Linked DNA regions of Drosophila melanogaster. Changing the gene in region 2 together with the main gene of any one other region gives a genetic interaction. Each region holds a gene or a part of one and is shown on either strand. Other genes may lie near its edges. The genes, in order: Rh3 and ninaC.

Region 1 (9,620 bases), on a different chromosome or scaffold from region 2:
CTATAGCTTTTGCTTTTGCCGCTGCTTACAACAATTTGATGGCATATAATTATTAGTTCGTATAATTTATGGCTTCATTTTGGCTCACAAAGTTGTGAACTGCCTTGTGTCTTGTGCATTTCAAGTCGAGTTTGCTGGAAAACAGCATGGGGTCGCTCCTAGCTGATTTATAACTAATTTAGCTGACATTTTTATGAGCTATCGAGAATGCAGCTGCAAGTGATTTTAATCAGTTCGAGGAATATGCAAAAATATGAAAAGAAATTGCCTTTCGCCAGTCAAAAGGAAATCGAGTTGTGCTTCATCAAAGCAGAGTGCGATGCAAACTGGAAGTCCTTGGAGAAACTTGAACTGCATATATATAGTTATACTTTCTATATGCATTATTATGCATTAACAAATTCTTATATTGCACAAATATGTACTTTTTGTGAGGAGTTGCGCCACTGTACAGTGAACTCTGGCGATGACAAATTGTTGGATTGCAAACCACCATGTCCGCAATTTCTGTTGCGGTTGCATTCGAAGGCTCCTCAAAATAAGTCTCTGCACAATGGAGGTCTTTGAGAGAGTGGTTTGCGACCATGTGGGGCAATCAAACGCAAGCAAGCCGCCAACCACTCATTAAGCAAAGTCCATAGAGAGTTTCCCCACGCAAACTGTGTACTAAATGTATGTGTGGGTAAAGGTAAATTGTAGAGCCCATTTCTCCGGAGTTACTGCAACATGCGATGCTGAACTTTGAACTGTCACAAAATGCGGCCCCTTCATGTTGCCGACATTTTGTTGTATTTTTGTATTCGGGTGCGTTTTTCATTCACCTTGCTCTTTTTTGAACGTTGAACTTTGAAGGCGTCGAAAAGGCCTAATTATCTTAATTAATGAGAGCCAAAGCGAATTTCGTGAAAGACAAATGTGCCGTGCCGTCGTGCGGTGGCTGGTTTTCGCATGGCCTGTGTGGCTGTGGGTGGTTTGGGTGGTTTTCGATGGTTTGGGTGGCTTGGGTGGCTGGGTGGTTTGTGTGGCGCTGCCTGGCGGCATTCACTCAGCGGTGCAAGGACGTTCTGTGGGTGCCATTTTAATTGTCTCTGCCCGCCGACCGCTCCGTCTGGCTGCCTGTCTGTTTTTGTATATAACTATATATATCAGGCTGTGTGTGTGTGATTTTCATTAATTTTACTTCGTTTTTACCATTTGCGCGCGTCGGTGGCTGCGACCGATTTTGGTTTATGGCCTTGCTACTCGCTCAGCGCTTTTCTCCCGCATCTGCCTCGCATCTGCCCCCTGATTTTCTCTGGCATACCCACCAGTTTTCCCAGCTCGTTTCGCTGGCTGTCTGTGTGCGGTTTTTGGGTTCGCCGCAAAACGACGCAGGGAAAAGGCTCTGGCAAATGCCCGCCAGGCAATAAGTGGAAAAGCGTGCTAGGCTAGGCGCCAACGAGAAAGGCAGAGATAGGCAAACTCAGGGGAGGCAGGGGAGGGGCTTTACGAAAAGTGTGAAGGAAATGGTAGCTGGGAAAACAATAATAATGAGGCGCCACACAAACACACGGTGCAACACTTTGGCCAACAATTTGTTAAATGCCATTTGGGGTGGTGTTTGGTGGGCGTAAGCCAAAGCGGAGGCCATGTGGAAGTTGTGTGGCACAAAAATCTAGGCATCCTTTGTGGCCAAGGTTCTGCTGATTTACAGCCAGTTACCGCAGGCTTCAAAATCCAAAGGACGCGTGACTAATGAGACTGGGCTGCAAGTGGACTCCATGTGGATTTCAGGCCGTTATTTTGTTTACTTTGATGGCTAGGATACAAATGCAAATTCCCTCGGGTGCCACGTGCAGGTATTTAAGTGTGTGTGGATCCCAAGTTTGTTATTTATCAAAATTCCTGTAATATTCGGTCTGTGTTCGATTCAGCATTCCCCCATATATGTTTCATTCCCAAAAATGTTTCAATATTCGCACTGCGCAGGATCCTTCCACCTGCTAAAGCTTTCGCTCTCCGGAGAAAGTAAGCGAGCACAAGAGAGTTAGAGAGCTGCTTTCCCGTCTGTGGATTCCATTGGAACTGGCACAATTCCCTATTGTTCTTGGCCAACTCTTTTGCTGTTGGCCATCTCCGCTCCTGGGAGCATTAAGCCGCCTTCTTCGGCTCGTCTGAGTGCCCTGCAATGGCCGCGTCAAGTGGACGATTGACAATTGACAAGGGGGCAAAGTTCAAAGCGGGACTGAGCCTACATTTTTACATCAAGAAGTTTTTCCCCTTCGAATGAATGCACATTTTCGTTATCAGCAAAACACCAAACATTTAGGATTTCTATAAACATAAGTAAACCTGGTGAAACAATAGGTGTTTTGCACAATGCGTTGAGTATGACCTGATTATATCAACTCAAGATTTTTAAGAATTTATTTTATTAAAGTTGTCAACTGAGTTAATGACTTATTCAGTTGATAAGAGTATTTACTTAACTTTTTATGTTCAGTTACTTACATTTGGCCATATTTTAACACAAAAAAGTTGTGTAAAATTAAATCCTCTTTAACTTCCATCATTATTTGGTTAGTTCGACGAAATAAAAAAAAAAAAACAGTTTATATAACTCTTTTTTCCATAGCTTGCTGTAATTTTACTATATTTCTTTCATAAACACAAAAGTGACTACAAATCATAACAAGAAAATATTTTCAACTCTTTGCACTCTAGCAGAAACTCCGTGAAATATTTATACAATTTTCCCTGGCGTTTGGTATTACGAGTTCGTTGCCGTTTCAGTTCATCATCATTGTCAGCATTTTTTGGATGGGTGGCTGTTGGGTGGGAATTTGCATTAGGCGGCGGTGGTCTGCTGTGGTTCCTGGGTGGTGCTGGTGGAGGCGACAGCCGACGATTCCGGCGCCTTTTCGTTGAGCGCCAGCCAGGGACATCGCTTCTGCAGCTCCATGCGGTATCTGGGATGACTTATGGCGTACACGAACGGATCGATGCAGGCCACCATTTTGCAGGCACAGGCGGGAATCATTGTGGCTCCGGGCGTCAAAAGGGTCTTATCCCCAAAGGCGCCAATCAGCGACATAACTCCGTACGGCGTCCACGAGCAAAAGAACAGGAAGCATATGGTGATGGCCGCTTTGGCTATCCGGATTTCCGCCGTCTCCTTGTTTTTGTCCACATTCGAACGCAGCGATTCCACGTTCATCTTCTTGGCCTGATCCCGCAGTGCTTTCTCGTGGCTAAAGACATGGCCCACAATCTGGGAGTAGTAGTACGTGATCATCGTGGTGGGACACACGAAGCTGAAGAAGAAGATGCAGGCCACAAAGAGTCGCGTATCGAAGTTATCGGTGAGATAGTCAAAGGTGCAGGATGTCAGATATCCCTCCGGCACAAAACGGCCCCAAGTCTCCGTGTAGCAGGCAACCACCCATGGAGTGGCGTACATGTAGATGAATATGATCATGGCAATGGCCTTGCCATGCGTCATCTTGCCCTCCATGGGTCGAGTGATCACATTGAATCGATCGTAGGCTATAAACGCATTGGTGGCACCGGCAGCGATTCCCGTATAGGAGCCAATGATTCCAAAGATCTGGCATCCCAGATGACCCAGCGCATATCCCTGGTGGAAGCTATTGTAGATGAATATCGGAGTCTTGACCATCATCATGAAGTCGCAGAAGGCCAGATTGATGACCAGTATATTGGAGGGAGTTCGCAGCGATTTGGCTGCGGAGAAGACCCAAATCACCAGTCCATTGCCCAGCATCGACATCAGGGTGAAGAAGATGTAGAGCGTGCCCAGCAGGTAGTTCATCGATTCGGGCGGCTCCGGGTAAGTTAGCCAGTGCTCGGGAATGTGCCGCAGCTCCTCCGGCGGCACATTCCAGCCCAGCAGACGCGTTTCGGCGGAGAGCCGCGCCTCCGGCCGCAGCGCGGTGGACACGTTGCCAAACAGACTCGACGACACGTTACCGGACTCCATGCTCCGGTCTGCGGGCCAAGACGAAATCACAGCCAGCCCAGCTTGGGGCTTTTATACGGCCCATCGGAATTGGATTAGCATTGTCGCAGCGGGATTACCCGTTTGGGATTGGCCTAATCCCTTGCTGACATTTTCGCTGGCACTGCGTTTGCATTGATTCTCGATTGAGGGTGTAGTGCAGCTCATCTGAAGGTTAGTGCAGTGACCATTTTGGGTTGCAGTAAGTAAACTGATTGAATAATCAACTTACCTAGCCTCTTATCTTCTGACAAGAGTTTCACCTTGTAAAGTAGTTACAGCATATTTATTTTTCAAATGACAAAGCGTATTGTGTTGGTTCTCTTTCGAAGGTTATCATAAGCGTACCAAGTAAATAAAATGTATATATAATAGTTAAATATTAGTTTTATTAATAGAACTTCGGCCCTCTGGTTGGTTGCTTTATTTTAATATGAGTTATGTTAGTAGATACTATGTACCAGGCTATTTGAAGTGAGATGCAATTTGCGGATTTGTGTATTAAACTACAAAATTCAGTGCAGTCAGCTGCTCCATTAAACTTGAACTCGTAGACTTCTCCATATGGAACGAGGTGGTTCAGTCGACTTTTAAAATAATTTCTCCGACACCGAGGTACATTTTCTAAATTGCGTGCCCCAAAAGTGTACTTTAAAAAGTTCTGTGCTATCCTATCTGATCTGCACATACATATAGGTTTGGAAATTCCCCCATCTTACAGTGGGGTGGATGGGCGTCTATCTGGGTATCCGGTGCCATAATCAGAGTGTAGCAATTGGGCTGGGGCCACGCCTACTTATTAACTCATAAAACAAAAAGTGTAGCATACTTTGGCGCGCGTCCCAAGACGACACACACACACATGGCCACAGCGATGTGTGTGTAATTATATGTGCGCGAGCAGCAACAATTTAGGTCATAAATCATATGGAAAAAGTACACAAAGGCATGCAAATATTCCCCAATTCCCGGCAAAGCCGACAACCGCACACATATACAAACGTACGGCCTTGCATGTGTGTGTGTGTTTGTTTCATTGGGAGGGAAAAGTGGGTGGAGATCATACGTGTGCATATGCTAAAAGTATGTACAAAGATTGATTTCCCTTTGTTTGCCTTTTAGTGTGTGTGAATGTGTTCTTCGCTTATTCACCTCGATTCCGCAGGTCTACAGAACCCAAACCCTTGATACTTCAACCCCCCAATTTACCACAGCTCTCAAACCCCAATCCCCATTCCCAGTTCCGCCAACGTGGGCTCCACATCATAGACTACGTACATCAACTACATAAAGCTCCATGGGTGGTAATATTATATGCTGAATGAGTTGCCTGTTGAAATAATATGTTATATTCACTTGGTTTCGATTTTTGCTTGCGCCTTTTGGCTTCCGCCACGTTTTTTTGCATTCCCTAACATAGAGTGTTTTCATTCTGTGTCTGCCGTGTCTTTTAGTTACTTATATAAATTCTTAAAATTATAATAATTATAATTAATTACAATTACAAATTGAGTATTCCAACGAAACTATATTCGTAAGGAATTAAATCTATAGAATTGGCTACCGATGTAACTTATTGTTGAACATTTTTTTATCATATATGTAAGTCTATTCTGTGGTAACAAAAATACAGACCGATGACATGACACTTCTATTAATGTAATGGTATTTATTTTGCAGTGTATCTTAAAAGACTTGCTGTAGTCTAAATGGCTAACTAAATGTGATTTACGAAGCCGGGAAATGGGCCTTTAAGGGTATCCCTCAGCCTTCGAATCGAACTTTTCCTTCAGTTGCTTTCGTTTTTTTTTTGGTGGTGGCAAGGTGAATGACTCTGTGGGGACTTCGGCTGCGAGTACGGGGCGAGGGGCACGAATCTAGTGTGGATTTCCATGTAATTAAGGACAGCTGTCGGCGGCCCACAATTCCCTAGTGTCATTGGAGCAACCGATGGCGATGGGGAGCCAAATAGCACTGAGCTGGCAGTGCCAGGTTGATTAGTGTGCAGCATAAATGGAACATGTGTTCCTAGAGAAGCGAGCGGAAGGGCTGCCACTTCCACTTTGTCGATTGTCGCCGGCACTGATTAAATGATTTCATTAAGTGATTGCTGCCAAAGCTGACAGCGTCAATTAATGACAAGCGGAAATGAAAGTTGCTGCTTAAAAAGAAACTCCATTTAAGCGCAATTGCCAAGTGAATCGATAAAAAGGCAGCTGAGCTTTAATTTCCTTCAACTACTCTATCTTAGCAGATCGAAACTTAACTAACCCGAATGTAGCACATGAATTTTAGGCAACAAATTACGCAGCTAAATAAATTGTACCTCATAGATAAGTATTTGTTAGCTAAGCTTATAAATCCACTTTATCAGATTTAAGAAAATATTCTGGTCTGAGCTTTCCTACTGCCTGCCATAAATTCCTGCCTTCTGAATGAAAACAAGATATATGGAATTTTTAGCATTTGTGACTGGCAATCCATTAATTGGTTTAAGATATGCAACGACAAGGATATATTTACATGAACACGGCCAGCGGGTAGCAGCTGTTGAGCAGACACAAACCAATTTGCAGTTTGTAATGAACATTTTTTGGAAAATCTAGGCGAATTCGGATATTTATTTGCATTACCACCTGCAACTCACCCACACATGCCCTTTGGCATAGACAATCCCGCATATTACTCATACGTGGCGTTGTACAAAGTGAGTGTATTCGGGGGCATTTACTTGTGTTTGGAGTCATGTGTGGCCCCCACAGGACCTCGGTCGCATCCTTTCGGCTATGGCACGGTAATTGATTATCAAATTCAGCGTTGCATTTTGCCATGGCTCCGGGCCATAAAAGGTTGAGTTGCGGCATCGCAGCATTGGCCACAACGTCCCCTTTTGCCCGGCAGCTCCTTGTGGATCCCCTGTCTCGATTTCTTTTCCACATGCGGATTTTTTTTTTGGCCTCGTTGGCATAAAAAGTTTACTCTTTCTTTTTTTTTGGCATGCAAAAAATGGGCTCATGGGAGGCGTGGCACTATGTGTGTTTGTTAGTGTATAGCATCTGGAAAAGCGAACATATTTTTAATGTGCAAAAATCTGTGAAATTTGTGCTATGTCGCTTTGATTGCAGTTTGGTGAACATATTTTACTGTGCGTGTGTGTTTGGTATGTCCTGCAGCAAAGGGAAAGATGTGAATTCACTTTGGGAAAGCTTATGCTCGCCAAATGGGAAAAAGTTTGCAAAACGGTTTCCCGCATTAGCGAAACTATTTAAGGGCCAAACAGTGTTTAATTTTTTATGATTTTAGAAGCAAAGAGGGTACTTAAGCATTTGTTACGATATAAATTATATTTTCAATTTTAAAAGTGTAACTTCATAAAATATGATGAACATTTAACATAGGTTTTCAGAACCGCAAGATAGCAAGACTTTGATAAATTAAAATTTGGTAGTCAAGATCATTCTGAAACATATTAATTTTATTTTATTTATATAAAAGCGTCCAAGATCATTTTCCAAATTCTAGCTAAATTTAATTTCGCTCTCAGCTAGTTTATCTTTATGCAATGAAATACCTAATCAAGCCAAATAAGTATAAGTTTATAGTATGCATAATATATTCTGTGTATTTCAGATGTGAAATTCAAGAACATGCTAACGCAATTTACGGGTAATAATATAGTTGCGCAATGGCTGTGATACAACTACTGTTCTGGCAGCATTTAATAAAGTTGCATTGTCAATTCGATTATTTTGATATCTCGGCACATTCAATCAATAATTATCCCGGACATTCGTGGGTATTTAATTCTGGCCCTAACCCCGATTTTCCAATAATGATTTTTCCGGTTGGATCTTGATGGCGACTCCATGTAGTGATACCGCCCTTCACCGCCGGCTAACATAAATATAAACCCATTAAGTCATTTATTATTCTACGAGGTCGAAACAAAAAAGGCATGGAAACCCGTTATTGTTATCAATTCTAATTAATTAAAATGAAATTTGGTTGCGGCACCAAATTGAGCATTTTTGCAATCAATTGAAATTCAATTAAAATACGTTGCCAGCTGGCAATAGCTATTGTAGAAAGCCCACAAATACAAATGCGTGAAGTGAAGTGAAGGGTTAAGTGAGCGAAGGGGGTGTGTGTTTGAAAGCCATTAGGCAGAATACCAACGGTTACATGACGCCAAACGAAATCCATTTGGTTCAATTAAATTTATTCATCAATAAAAAAATAAAAGCTCAGCAACGGCAATTTTACAACAAAAGAGGGCCGCATAAAACCCGAATTTCGAATTAATTACGTAAAGCGGAAACGGAAATGCGACCACGCTATTTAGGCGATGCCCCAGCCAAAACATTTCCTCCATTCCCCATGGAAACACGCCTCGGCGGTCCTAAACATAATAAACTTGGTTATGCCGCAAATTATTCAAGCGAAGCGCTCGACTTCAGCTTCAACAGCGACCTTGAACATAACTGTACTGCGGCCACAAGGACATGGCCCGCTCTTGGCCATGTGACCATCAACCACATGATTGTGTTCATCAATTAGTTATAAATCACACGTCTTTGGTCACGGCTTTCGACTCGGACTTGTCGAACCAGAGAGGAAGATGCAGCCCGCTCAAGCTAAGATACTACCACAGTTGAATTCAAAGGTGCACTGAGCAAAACTATTAAGCTGTACATAAAAAGTCGGTTGAACGACGTACAAATTAAGTTTTTTTTATTATGAAATCACGACAAAGGAAAAGGTTGTCATGTTTCAAAGGCCAACACTTAAAGCACTAAAACGACATAAATTCTTAATACTGTAGCTTTATGCTATATTTATGTTTACTATTTGAATAACCAACTTAAATAATTCCGATAAAAATACGCGTCGAAAAATGTAAGTTATATGTGTATGAAATCAGTATAGCACTATGTGCCACAGAGTTTAGATAGGCTCTAACAAATGGCAATGTTTACAGACAATTTTGTCCCGGCCCATGCGGCGTATGCGTCATTTGTTGAGCTGACCTCCGATTATACTGTTACGAATTGGCGATTTATGATGATCCTTACAGGACATCAGTGTGATTTTTCTTTACCCATACTTAAAAATTTCAATAGATGATTAACTTCAACGTTGTTTTGCATATCCTTGTTTGTGCGCTCACATAATATGTACACAAAGTAACTCTTATATTTTTTTACATCCTCTTTGCTGCTTATTTATCTAACCCTAGTAAAACTCATCACACGACCATTGTAAGCGTGTTGTTTGTGCCCGTGTGTACGTGGTCAGTAAAATAATCACGGCACAATTATTTGTATAACTCATTTAAGTGCTGGCCCAGATGCAGATGACCATGGTTAGGCTGTTCTCGTTGCTGTTTCACTGTCAGTTTGTTTGTGTGCACTTTTGTTATGTAATTACCGCTGCGCACGAGCCCTGGATTGGCACTCTGATTCGGATTCTGACTCTGATTCTGATGCGAGCCGGGCGGGCTTGTACGGCCAACTGTTACAACTGTTTATGCTGGCGCTAAACAAACAGCCCAAATAGCCGCCCACACATGGCCAAGGACACAAAGGAACAATGTGGCAGCAGCACAGTGAAGTTAGTTTTCCAA
Region 2 (13,753 bases):
TTTGACATTTGCATCGGTTACGGCACACATCCAAATCGCTCCAGTGGCGCCTCTCAATAAAGGCTTATTTTCCCTCACATTCTTGTCCTTTATGATAGTTACCAAAGGTTCCAAGCCCCCAGCCTCCCTCACCAAATCCCTGGTGGTTCCGTCGAAGGCGCACTTGTAGATCGCTGTACTGCCCTCCATCTTCAGCTCGGTATTTTCGGAACTCAGATGGCTCACAATGTCGGGAATCATGCCCTCGGTGGTGATGGCCAGTTGGAACTTCGGCTCCGAGGAGCACTTTCGAACGGTGCCCATTATGGGAATGACGACATCGATGTGACAGGACTTAAGGAGCTGAGCCATCAAAGGAACAATTCCGCTCTTGCGCATCTGCTCCATGTTGTGCTTGGAATCGGCCAGAGTGAAAAGAGCCCGGGCTCCAGCGCGTGTCATATCGAGAGATTCCAGATCATCTGGACTCAATTGGTCACGAGGCGTCTTTAGAATGCTATAATATAATTAGGTTTTTTTTTAATTATTTCTTATATGTGGTGATGTAGTATGAAGCACTTTATCCAATGCCAACTCACCTCAACTTGATGTCGATGAGATCCACCAGCTTGGGGATTCCTCCGCAGGTGCGCACATACTTTCTGGCCAGTCGCACCTTGCACACATTGGCCAATGTCTCGGCGGCCATGGTTTTTAGGTCCTTCATGGAAGAGTTTAGGATGTCCACAATGAGGGGAATGCCATCCAGATCTACGATGGTCTTCCTAATATCGATGTTCAGTGTGATATCTGAGAGAACTTTGAGGGCGCCCAAACAGCACTTGGTGTCGCTGCACTCCAGGATGTTAACCAAGACATCGAGTCCGCCGATGTCCGAGATGGCGAACTGATTGATCTGGGTGCTCAGATCGTAGTCCTTCAAGCAGCACAACGATACTATAGTGGCTGTCTGATTGCCCGCCTTGATGTATTTCACCAGTTTTTGGATATTATAATAGTCAGCCGGAATCTCAGCGGCTCGCGCCACTTCCTTCCAGCGTTCCTCCTCATCCGTAGACGATTCCACCTCCGTGGTATCCGAGTCCTCGGCGGCCACCTGGCGCTTATCCTTTGAGAATCTGTTGGGACAGGATCCGCACTGTTCTTTCTTCTTTCGACTCCGATTGTGGGACGTTCCGCTGCTAGTGCCAATCATCCTTTCGCGTTGGATTACTCACAGATTTGGCCAATCGTATTCCGGAAATATCTGTCGGTATGCCAGCTTTCTTCAGTTTTGTATCGGAATTTATTGTGTTTTTGTGTGGGAGAACTTTATTAGGCCAGGCAATTGATTTAATAAGGCGTGTTGCTAAGGTAACTGAGATAATTTCAAAAATACCGGGCTAGGGCAAAGGTATCTTAGCTCAAACTTGTAAGTTTTTTTTTATTTTAATAAATTTTTAACTACAGCTATCCAAGGCATTTAAAATTTATTTTATTCGCTTGGCCTTCGTTGAATTCGCTTAGCGGTTAAAATTAACCGTTTAGCAAATACATCGACCTGACTTAGCACAGACAATAACCATTCATAGTGCAGACGACCACCGCGAAATTTACCCGTTTCCGAAACTATCGAGGGTATCGCAGGGAAATCGACTGCCATTCCATCACCAGCTTGTGTTGTTTGTTTTTTATTTTCAATTAAAATCCGCGATCATCCGCAGCTGCAGCTGCATTGTTTGTTTACCAGCCGTCGTAGCACCAGCCAACTGAATTTCGTGTCCTGAGATGGGAAATGCGAGTGGCAAGCGGGAGACGGATAATCTCTACAATTCGGAAGAGCTACGCATGCTGGAATCCGCGTACAAAAACGCCTCTGGCGGAGCACTTGAGAAGTTGACCCAAGACAGATTGGTGGTAAGTCAAGTAAATCCAGTTACCGTGCCACGTGTGCACTGCGAAAATCAATGGCAACTGCATTCTGCATTTGCGGAAGGGTCAGGGTCACAAGTTCAAGGACGCGCGGAGTGAACTTTCTTCGGCAAAAAAAGAGAAATCGGGACTTTCGAGTGCATGACAAACGGCCGTCCATCCACCTGCTGCGATGGCCACCCTTCACTTGAATGGGTATATCCTTTAGGGCATTAATTTGTTGTTGTCACTAACTCCTATTTCGAGGATTAAACATTGAAGTTAATCATAGTACTATGTTCCGAAAAAGAAGCTTAGTTATATAAGAGAGTGAGTCGCAACATTATCCGGCATTATACAAAAGTTCAAAGTTTCTAAACCTTATTTTAATACAGTTCTTTTTCGATTTAAAGTGCAAACCAGGAAATTTAACAGAGTTTATAAAAAGTAAATTATTCAACTTGTTTAAAAATGTAATTTTCTAAACTAGTCAGTCCTATTTAGATTAAATGTACACGTAACTTTCCAAAATTGTTATTTTAACCCATTTAGTTAAATCAATCTGATCATACACAATTTATGCTATAATTTTTCCGATGCGGGTTCAAGGCCCCAGATTTGTGTTTTATTTTTATCACAGCACAGATGACGGAAATGCAACCACTCAAAAAATGTTTGTTTGTAACCAGATGATGATTTTTCCTTATAATATTTCCATCTATTTATAGCTCGTGTTTGATTATCACAGCGCTTCCTAGGGTATAGCAAAATTCGATATCTTCAACTCGGGCGTTATCAGTTTCGAATTGATAATTCCTGGGCCAGTGCGAACGTGTCCATAATTTGTCTAATTTGTTTGCTGCCGCATTTCACTGTTTGTCTTTTGCTTTGTTGAATTTGCTTGCTAACGAATTAGTCGTGATTTCAATGACTGGGGTCGTCAATTAGGGCCAAACCCAATTGAATTAAAAATAAACCATATGCTTAACCCGTTTACAGCATGGCATGTGAAATAGTTGATTTTTAGAATGAGGAAATTATAAGACTTGCATTCATATAGAGTAATTTAAGCGGAAACTCTCTAAATTGAAACTTTACATACATTGAAGTAGTATTTATTTTCATAAAACTTGAGAGACTTTGTTTTCAGTCAAACCAAATTATTATTCATTGTACGTCCTTCAATGGGTTAATCTGTGTCAGCGCTTCCCAGACCTTCGTTCCCTGCAAGAATTTGCTGACAGCAGCGGGAAAATTATGTTTACGTATCCGGCGCGCATTTTGTTTATGTACACACATATACATGTATCTGTTGTTTTGTTTCGAAAATAGGAAACTTGGTCGCAAACCATCGAAAGATCCCTGGCCGAAAGTACGGCTCAGTATCTATTTACGCCCACGAAGCCAGGTCAGCAATGTGTCAACCTTCAGCTGAAGAAATTTGGAGAGCCCTACTACATCATGGAACGCGGTACTATTGACCAGAAAATGCAAATGCTCCTGGGCTCAATGGAGAGAAGTGGAAATGACACCTTCAACAGCAAGCAATTGGAGCAAGTGAGTCTATAAATAAGTAGTCATTGTCATCAGATCGCGGAAATAATATTTATAACTTCTGTCAGCCGAGCCTCATTAGGATTCATAACATGTTTGTTATTGAATTAGGTTTAGCTCTCCATTTATGTTTATCCTGAAAACTAGATTTCCACGTTTATTTTCTTAGCTGTCATATGAACAACTTGTTTATTTAATTCTTTTATCTTTTGCTCGCGAATTAATCAATTTTATAATTCCCCAGTATATCTACTCGGTGATCAAGAGCTACGTGCACTTGGAAAGTACAGCGAAAAACTCTGGCATCAAGGAGTGGCACGATCTTGGCTTTAACACCACGGAAAGGTCCGCCGCCACATTTGCCAAGGGCCTTATGAGAAATCTGGGCAAGGAGCTAGAGCACACTATGCCCAACGATGCCCTGGAACGTTGGTTACACGTCACTCCGCAGTTTTTGCAGATTTGGCGCGAGGTCTTTAGCCAGCTGTATTGTCGCCATGGTGGCAGCAAACGCAACATAATCAAGGAAATGGAAATTCCAATTCTGCCAGCACTGTGTGGTAGGACAAAGAAAATTTTTAAATTTATTAAAATCGTTTATAACTTTTTTCCTATTTTCCAGATGCTCCGCAAAATAGTCATTATCGCCCTATCATCGAACTACCTCACGTCCTGTATATCAATGCTCAGCTGCCCCGCGAACATCGGCACAAATGGCGCTTTCTATTCTCATCGAAAATCAACGGGGAAAGCTTCTCGACGATGTTGGGAAAAGTGCTGGACAAAGGACCAACGCTGTTCTTTATTGAGGACGAGGATCAATATATATTTGGCGGCTACGCGTCCGAAACGTGGTCCGTGAAACCGCAATTTGGAGGCGATGACAGCTCATTGCTCTACACCTTAAGCCCTGCCATGCGGTGCTTTTCGGCCACAACTTATAACAATCACTATCAGTATTTGAATTTGAATCAGCAGACTATGCCGAATGGCCTGGTGAGTAATGTTTATAGCTAATTGATTGATTGCTTTGCTAAATGTTTATATTTTTCGTATACAGGGCATGGGCGGTCAGTTTGATTTTTGGGGCCTTTGGATTGACTGCAGTTTCGGCGATGGACAAAGCGTTGAAAGTTGCACTACATATCGAGACTACGTGCAGTTGAGGTGAGTGTAAATTAAAATCTTGATTATGTTTCACCTTACAGACCACTAGATTCTATATTTTAATTCAACATTATTTTAAACAATTGTGGTTAATCTACCAATTATTTATCGTACCCAAGTAAACGGAAACAGTTCAAAATACGAAACATGGAAGTTTGGGCCGTAGGAGACTTACCAGTTAAAGAAGAAGACGAAGAAGGCGACGGTCACGTATGTCAAATTAAACTCAATATTATATTAAATAAATAATCATATCTTTAACCCATAGAAACGTTCTGTGCTGGATGGCAATTTGGAAGATCGGGCCATGTTGGAAATTGCGGGCAAGAAAATGCACTCGGATGGATTGCGTGAGCCCAACATGGATGATTGATATTATGTGAAACTATTTAAGGAAAAAGTTTTGTTTTATCATCGAGAATTTGTGAGACCATGCCCGATATGGGTGTGCAGTTAATGATTCAATTCAGTTTCCTTAGCTTTTTTGCAATCCCTATCGAACACACAAAAAAAGTCCTGCGAACAAAAGAGTATTTGTTCAATCCATTCCTATAAACGTTTTTGTTTAGGTATTAATGTTTATATATACAATGTATAATGGATATAGTTTATGAAATACTGAGAGTATTGTTGTTGCGTTTTAGATCTTAAAGTGAGAAAAGTAAATCATTTAAATGATGTAACAAAGAAGCAAGCATAATAAGCAATGTTAATTCGTCGAATTTTTCCCATTTTTATCCTACGTCAATAAAATGCAAATTAATTGCTGAATTTATATCAATGTCTTTAAAGTTAAATGTTTGAGTATGCCAAGGTAGCATTTACCTACAAATAACCTAAATAATTAAGTGGTTTATAGAGATAGAAAAATGAAATGCGGTAAGAAAAAAGTGAAAATTTAAATAACGATTTATCCCAAGACATTTTATTTATTCCATTGTGTGAAACGTTTTTGAGAAAGTGATGAAGAAAACTTCAATCATTATTTTGGAATTTTAGGTGGGTTTTAGCTAAATTGTCTTATGGTTTGCATAACAATTAATTTTAATATTTTTACTCTTAATCACTAGTTTTAGATATCGACGGCATAGCCTGAAAGAGTGATTCCAGGTGCAATCTCCTCTTCTACATAGGATCCTGCCTCCTCGAAGGATCTAGCATTGCTATCTTCGAAGCTGCGACCCACGCTGGCTGGAGATTGTCTCAAGGTCGGAGCCCTCTGCTGCTGGCCAAACTTCCTAGACACACCATAGTTTCCCGATGATGAATTATAGCCCTCATCGTCTTGGTACCGGCGACCTGTCGAGCGTAGCTTGGGCGGCTGGAACGTGTGTTGGTCACCACTGTCCGATCCGCGGCGATTGTTAAAGTCATAGGTGTTGGTCTCGGATCCCCTCGGATAGTTAGTCTTGCGCAGCATAGCCTTGAAGTTGAATGGTGGATCCTCAGAGTTCTGGAAAGAAAATATCTGAAGAATTTCCTTAGGAAATTGACATACACTTACATCACCCTCGTTGCGAGCCATGTTCTGAAGTTCTCTAACTGGATCCGACGGAGGATACGAGGATCTTTGCTGATAGTTGCGTTGCTGCTGGTTCGGATTATTGCGATAATAGTTGGATGAGGGCATTGGTGGAGGAGGAGGTGGAGGCGCCGCATAGCCCTTCAAGGAGTTGCGCCTGGATCCGGATCGATGTACGCCCCAGTTCTGGTTGTTATAGTTGCTGTTATAGCTGTTGTAGGCATTGTTATAGGCATTCATGTTCATCTGCATTTGATTTCTGAAAAAAAGTGTTAGAAACTTAAGTTCAACCTTTGAGTATCTTTGCTAACCTCCTCAGCTGTTGGGGATCTCGGAAGTAGCCCTGATTGTAGATATTGTCGCTCTCGCCCATGCGATCCCAGTTGGTCTGGCAAGCCTGCTCCTTCTTATAGGCATTGTAGGTCAGGGCACAAGAAGTCATCGAAGGATTGCGTTGCAGAGGGCTGTCCCAAGGCTCATCGTCCTCCATGTGCTGCGTTAGTAGCTGATTGGGGAAGGCTTGGCGGGAAATGGAATTGGCCGGGTCCACCATATACTGGGTGTCATAGAAGGGTATCTGATCCAGGCGGAATGGCATCTTTTTTATGGGCACTGGCAGTGGTCCTAGCTGCGAGGAGTTCACTTCGCGCATATTGATCCTCTCGAAGGGCACAGCCCGAGTACATTTATTCAAGCCAGCCACCATTCGTTGGTTGTAGATGTGGACCTGGTACATAATATAATATATATATATATATATATTGGATTTGAAGATAAGAGATTTGAACTCACCTGCTGTGAGAGATTGACAAAGTCCTGGAAGCGAGCCGCGCGGTAGTGCAGGAGGACCTGGAAGATAGACTTCTCGCGCCATTTCTTGGCAAACGGACGGATAAAGTCGGCGGTGTTCTCGTTTAGTTGGCCGGACTTCTCGTTGACCAGCGGAGGGAGGCGGACGCGGTCGCGGAATCCCCTGAAGGCTGTGGGAAAATGGAAACGGAGGAAGGCCGTTAGAGTAACCCATTTGAAAAGCGGTCGCGGCGGTGGACGGTGGTGGTGAATGAGAGGGAAGTCACCTTAATTTAATTAAATTTTCATTTCTTTTCTACGCAGCACTTATAATTCATCTCTTTTCGCAGGGGCCGTCGATGTTAAGTGTTATGTCTCAGACAGCTATAAGCCGATTGGTTGCATCAGATGGAGAACACAACCGCCCAGCGGGATGGGGTGGGATGGTATCCACATTGGACACCACTAAGCGGCTTAAGTGGTTTGCCGAGGCCCTAGACTAGATGATAGCTGGTTGTTTGCGTTTTCTACATTTTATTGGTAGTCGTATTACGATTAGTATCGATCGATATAGTGATATAGTGTGTATAAATGGTATATAGTAGGGGCCTATTCCTCGGCGGAGGCCTGCTCGATTTTGGCTATTCGCACCGCTGCCAGAGCCTCATCCATTCTGGCCTCGAGGAACATCTCCTCCGCCTCCGAGGGCGTCTCGCTTATGTCGATGTGCTCCTCGTCGTACTCTCTTAGCCTATCCACCTGCGTTTTTTTACCTTTTTGTATTTTGGACGCGGCCACATCATGATGCTCCGGTCCCTTTTTGCCCACTAATAGGGAATTTAAAATTAGATTTCATACCATATACTGTATAAGTATTATTTATATCTTACATTTGAAAACTTTGCCGCCCTTAACTCGTTTCCGTGCTAGCAAAGCTCGCATCATGGACTGCACTTTGATGACCTTCTTCACCTGCAGCTCATACAATCTGAAAGCAATTGATAGTACTTGCTTTTCTCAATGCGTATGAATTGATAGCTCACCTGGCTAAGAACTCATCGTTATAGTAGCGCAAAAACACCTTGGTCTTGCCCAAGGCCCAGCCTTCCATCTTGAGGCGCAAGAATAATAGACGACAGTTATCCTTGGTCATTTCCACGGGCTCATCAAAGTCAAAGGCAAGGAATTGGTATCTAATACGAATATTTTAAATATTTAGAAATCTTTAAATGGAAACTGGAATGGAATCGATTACCCACCGCCTTAGGAACTCGTCGAATGGCAGACGCGAGCTGAATCCCTTCTGGCGAGCAATAACAGTGTCCAGAACTCCCAAGGCCTTCATCTGTTGCTGGACGACATCCGAGTGGAAGGATCTGGGCTTGTACTCCAGATCAGCGCGAATGCAGCGAACGAAGTGCACGCCGAGATTTGCATTCTGGCTTAGCATTTTGAGCAGGGTCAGGCAGGTGAAGCGGAAGTTGGCCGCCAGGGTACGTAGATTGTTCACTTGGGAGATGCATCCGGCACTTAGGGTATTCAAGGCCTGAAATGCATAGTTTACAAAAATATACCAAATTTAGGTTAGCTAATAAAAACTGTGACAGACTTACATATGACTTCCGTTCAGATTCATCCTTATGCTGCACTGCCTCGAATGGCATGGTGAGATTGCCAGCCTTGGTCAGTTGATTGGTGAACATGAGCATGATGCTCTCATCCAGCGAGGAGCGGAAGGTCTCGATCATTTCCGGCGGCACAAAGTCCCGGTTGATGTCGGTGAAGGCGCGCGTATCATAGATGATGCGGCCCGTGTAATGAGCCACGGATATTTCAGTGGCAGTGTGCTTCTTCACAAACTGGCTGTGCTTCTCCGAAACGCGATCTGTAGATGGAAAGTGGTTAAATCACATATCCAAAGTGGTGCCAGAATTGGTTGTATACCCATAATCAAATCCTGATCTTGACAGGAGCGTGAGGCATCGTCAATGATGTAGAACAGGCCATCCGGTTTGGTTAGCAGATTATCCAGAGCTGTCTTGTTGTCATAGAAATTCAAGTTGATGGTGTCAATGTCTTCAGCTTCCATTTCCAGCATTTCGCTGATAAAAATACGTTGATTGTAGTGATATTGCATTTGCTCGTTTAGAGTATTGATCATTAGTTGCTCCAGACCATTTCGATTAAAGCACTCAAATCCAAACATGTCGTGAATAATGATGGCATTTGTGTCTCCGCTTAAAAAGTTATTTAAGCCACATTGTTAAACTTATGAATTTGTAACTTTTTTTTTAATATTACTTACAACACAGCCCGTGGGAAGGACATGTTCATGTTAATCCTGTTGATGATAAAGTCCACCAATCGAGAGTAGAGCGTGCTGGCCACCGCATCGCGTGCATCCCTAGCTTCTTCAGTGGTGTACTGTCGCCTCTCGGCGATCCCGCCCTTGACCATAATGAAGTTGGTCAGAGACCACATGAACTTTTTCTCATCCACACGGAGGAGCTCGGCGATCCGGGACACAATGTCCGTGTTCTCCACTTCCGCATACTTTCCGTTCTGCCGGAAACGGATGTTGCCAATGTTCAAAATGGCAGCCAAAACTTTGCGAACGGTCTCCAATTGCTTGTGATTGAAATCAATGTCCCGCAGGATGTTCTCGAACTCCCTGTACCTCTCCACATTGCCCTCGGGATCATCACGACGATACTTGAGTTTCGATGGCGGAACCTCTGGCGGAACTCGCAGATAACGATAATTGCGATCAGCCTTCAGATTGTACTCCTTAAGCTGATTTTGCTGATTAATAAAGTCGTAGAAGTAGTAGAAGATGTGGAAGTTGTGCTGGGTTCCGTCCGTAGTGGCCACTCGTAGTTTCTCCAGCATATACATATTAAAAACGGCCCCACTCATTTTGCCGGTTTTTCCAAAGGTCAAGCAATATTGTAGGACACATCTTGTGGAGTCGTTGTTTACCGGAGTTCCTGCATTCACCAACATCAGGATGGCCTTGATGGAGCTCTCCACGCGCCCGGTGGCCCCACGATTTCCATCACCCAAGTAGCACAGATGCTTGATTAGCAGCCGGGCATTTGTGGACTTGCCCGAGTAGCTCTCTCCGGAGAGCACGATGTGTTGCGGCTCCTTATGATGCAGCATATCCTGGTAGGCGATATCGGCCACCGAGAAAATATGCGGCTGGTTTTCCGAACGCGACTTGAAGCGATACTTGGCATGGAACTAGAGAAAGGATAAATATAACATATTTAAGTATACATATTAGATGTTTTCAACTTACCTCCTGCGGAAATTCCTGCTTGATTTCATTGGAATTCAAGGATAAAAGGATATCGCCAATGAAACTGTACGATTCCCCCATCAAAATGCGATGACGCAGTGACTCGATTATGTTTTCATCCACGGGATTTTCCAAGGCAGCCAAGTCCTCCGGATACATCTTTTCCGGCTTCTCATCGAACCTCTTCACATAGCCGCGGTCCACGAACAATTCCGGCTCCTTGTACAAAGTCTTTACATCCCTAGAGAGTTCCAACATTTCTGCGATGTCCGATCGCATCTCGTCCTCGTTTTCGATGAGCTCCGTGAGGAATGGATGCTCCACCATCTCAACCATCATGGGCCGATTTTCGGCATTTTTCTCCAAACTCTCGGATATAAAATCATTGATCTGCTGCGACCAATTAGTGGGTCGCATTAAGGTCGGCGGTGGATTGCGAATGATCTGGAACATGGCCCTAGTGGGATGCATGTCAGCGAACGGTGGCTTTCCATCGGCCAACTCAATGGTAGTGATTCCCAAGGCCCAGACATCGGCACGAACGGTGATGTCCGGTTCGCGGGATTCCATGGCGGACACCACTTCGGGAGCCATCCAGCAGGGAGATCCAATGCAGGTGCCCCTCTTGCCCAGAGTGGAATCCACCTGACGGGATAAACCGAAATCGCACAGCTTGACCCGTCCATTTTTGGTCAACAATATGTTATCTCCCCGAATGTCCCGATGCAGGACATGATTACGGTTCAGCTCGATGGCAGCACGGCAAGTCTCCCGGATAATGTAGGCGATGTGCTCCTCTCGCATTCGACGATCCAGTTTCAAAAGCTTGTTAACCATGTCCACTGCTGTTCCCCCAGCGCAGTACTGAAATATTCAAATGGTTTATATAAATTACAAAAAATTGGATTTAAATTTTTGGAAAAAATTTAATAAAATATTAACAAAATGTTTTGACTCACCTCCATGACAAACCAGATCTCATCAGGTCCGTTTGGCTTCGACAGCTTGTAGACGCCATAGAACTCGGGAAGATTGGGATGGTCGCAGTAGTCCCGCAGAGTGCGATACTCCTCCTCGATGGAAACCTGGTGCTCCTCATCGTAGTGCTGAATCTTCAGGGCAACGATCCGATCATTGTCGAGCTCCTTGGCCCGAAAAACCTTGGCATTGACGCCTTGGGCTATCTCCTCGTAGATCTCGAATTTATCCGTAGGATCCGGCAATTGCGCGTACGGTAAATACATCATGACTTAGATGCTTATTCTGAATATTCGAAGAACATGTGGGTTAAACTTGGGAATTGGGTCTATCATAAAATGGGCTTCAAAGGTTTTCTTTTTCAATTTTCCCTCATGCAAATCGCATTATATTTGGGTTCATTGTTGCAAAACACTTAAGAATGGGCATTCTAGAGGTTTCATTGTAATCTTTTGCTTCTAATAACAATTTGCTTTTTCTTTAAAGGTGAAAGTTAAGTTACTTTGGTTTACTTAACGTAAGGATATTTTGGAATGTTTGCTTTGCAAGCACGAAAGATTTCAAGGACCTTTAAACAAATAAGATGCAATTTTGAAATGTAAAATTATAATAAAACCATTTTCTATAAAACACTTAAATAATTCATGTGAAAACGAAAAAGTTAAATGTACGATTTATCCTTGGTAATTAATCCTTCCTAGGTTTGTATTTTGAATCAGCAACTTTGGATAAAGGGATTCTAGGGGGTTATTTGTATTATATCCACTTCACAGGGCTTCAAACACTTAATCCTTCAGGACACACCTTCGCTGCCGCAGATTGGCACACTTATCCTGCAGCTGTGTATTTTTGGTTGCAAGGATGTACTTGTGTGGAACTTCGAACCGACCGCACGCATGCAGCACGTACCGCTGCCGTTAGCCAACTAAATGATGGGCCAATGCAATCGGAGGCTTTTCACTGGCAAGGAAGGAAGCCATTCAATGGGCAGTACCTGGGTGCACACCTTGGACAACTATTTAGCTGGCTAATTCAATTAGCGGCGGCGACATTCACGTGCAAGTGAAAAAAGCGGCGACACAGATGGCCAAAATGCCGAGGTGAAAGGGAAATTGGCAATGCGAGTGAAAGTCAGCTGATTGACAGACTAATTATGCATCTTATTGTTCGTATTTACAAAATATATTTATACGTATTCCAAATGGCTGGAGATTGCTAAACTAGGCATTGCATTCACACACGTTGTTTATTGATGTTTGCCCTATTGCGTACTTTATGTTTTTTTTTCTGTAATACTGATTTCTTTGTGTGTTAAGTTCTGTGAGAATGAAGAAAAGTCTTTTCTTATGCATGTGGCTGAGGCTCCATCGCTCCATCACTTCATCGTCCTTCGTCTTGCGTCCATTGTCCTTAATTGCATATGCTAATCCATTCCTCTACGTGGCACTCCTCGCACTCCACATTACAGCACCATTGGAATTTACAGTGACACCGCTCCGCCCTCCGCTGGATGACCTGGCTGTGGCCACGGCCACAGCAGAGGGAGGTGCATCCGTCGCTGGTCGTGGTGTTCCGATTGCACTTGCGTCCCACGGTGCCTGTGCGGAAATTGGCTCAGATTAGTCATGTTTATGTTTTTCTAAAGATATAATCATCAGAAAAGAAAATTATGTGGTATCTATTAAAATATAAAAATAACAAGTTAATAAAATTAGTGGTGTAAGATTTGCGTAATTAGCAAATGATTAAGTGTTCTCATCAAATGCAATCCATCGCCAAATGGCAGTTAATCCCGCCTACTGGCGGACAAGCAATTAAAAGACCATAAATAAACTATTAAACTAAAGCACAAACAAAGTATCATAATTGTTTGGCCGACGATAATTGCCAGCGTTAATTGCTATCATTTGAATAGACACGACACCGGACACGGACACATGAATCAAAACGCCCGATGGGCTGGCTGCTCCCCAGTTCACTGCTGTTGGAGCCTGAGTTGGAGCTTGAAGTGAAGCTGGAGTTACCGGGCTAAGCCGACGATTAATTATAAATTTGCGTCGTAATTAACACTTTTAAACTGCTGGCAGTTGGCGGGGCAGCAGCGACGCTTGATAATTTGCAAATGTGTCAACAGCAAAATGGCTAACGAAAATTGCAAGTGGCAGTTAGACGTCGATTTCGATGTGAACGTGCCGCAGTTTCGACCGATCCCCCAAGCCAGAGTACAAGCAAGGGGGGAGAAATGAGGGGATACAATTAACCCAAACTCATTTCCAAGCATAAAAAGTAACGATTTTCTTTTAGTATGTTTCGGCCAATTGTAGTTTAGATAACATATCAAAAACCTTTATTTTAAGAATGTCAAATAAGAACCCCCCTCAGATTTTCAGTCTCCGCCACTGCTTTATACAATCCAAACTGAGTTGAGCTGATCCGAACCAATCCAATCCGATCCGATCCAAACTGAGCTAAGCTAAGCTGAGCTGCTGTGCGCATGCGTCGCTGTCGCATTTTTTTCGTAAATTATGTGGCAGGTTTGGTAGCCCGTTTAA

The links.
Region 1: of ninaC (region 2) and Rh3, changing one suppresses a phenotype caused by changing the other (phenotypic suppression), as found in Drosophila melanogaster (one study listed by BioGRID).

Annotation. Positions count from the first base shown.
Region 1 is NT_033777.3:20,078,448-20,088,067, forward strand, and holds Rh3 (rhodopsin 3), read right to left. Parts: upstream 4,004-9,620; 5' UTR 3,980-4,003; coding exon 2,828-3,979; 3' UTR 2,613-2,827; downstream 1-2,612. UniProt on the Drosophila melanogaster protein: Visual pigments are the light-absorbing molecules that mediate vision. They consist of an apoprotein, opsin, covalently linked to cis-retinal.
Region 2 is NT_033779.5:7,376,118-7,389,870, reverse strand, and holds ninaC (neither inactivation nor afterpotential C), read right to left. Parts: upstream 12,170-13,753; 5' UTR 12,006-12,169; intron 11,487-12,005; 5' UTR 11,471-11,486; coding exon 11,183-11,470; intron 11,088-11,182; coding exon 10,224-11,087; intron 10,166-10,223; coding exon 9,228-10,165; intron 9,160-9,227; coding exon 8,867-9,159; intron 8,808-8,866; coding exon 8,536-8,807; intron 8,469-8,535; coding exon 8,182-8,468; intron 8,116-8,181; coding exon 7,966-8,115; intron 7,911-7,965; coding exon 7,813-7,910; intron 7,750-7,812; coding exon 7,696-7,749; coding exon of another isoform or gene 7,532-7,695; exon of another isoform or gene 7,114-7,531; coding exon 6,926-7,113; intron 6,861-6,925; coding exon 6,445-6,860; intron 6,393-6,444; coding exon 6,116-6,392; intron 6,065-6,115; coding exon 5,684-6,064; 3' UTR 5,527-5,683; downstream 1-5,526. Other genes in the region: gudu, read right to left, coding at 1-496, 579-1,195; CG5149 (uncharacterized protein), read left to right, coding at 1,768-1,896, 3,223-3,447, 3,689-4,004, 4,067-4,440, 4,505-4,611, 4,731-4,821, 4,880-4,984; Wnt10 (Wnt oncogene analog 10), read right to left, coding at 12,612-12,799. UniProt on the Drosophila melanogaster protein: Required for photoreceptor cell function. The ninaC proteins combines putative serine/threonine-protein kinase and myosin activities. Essential for the expression and stability of the rtp protein in the photoreceptors.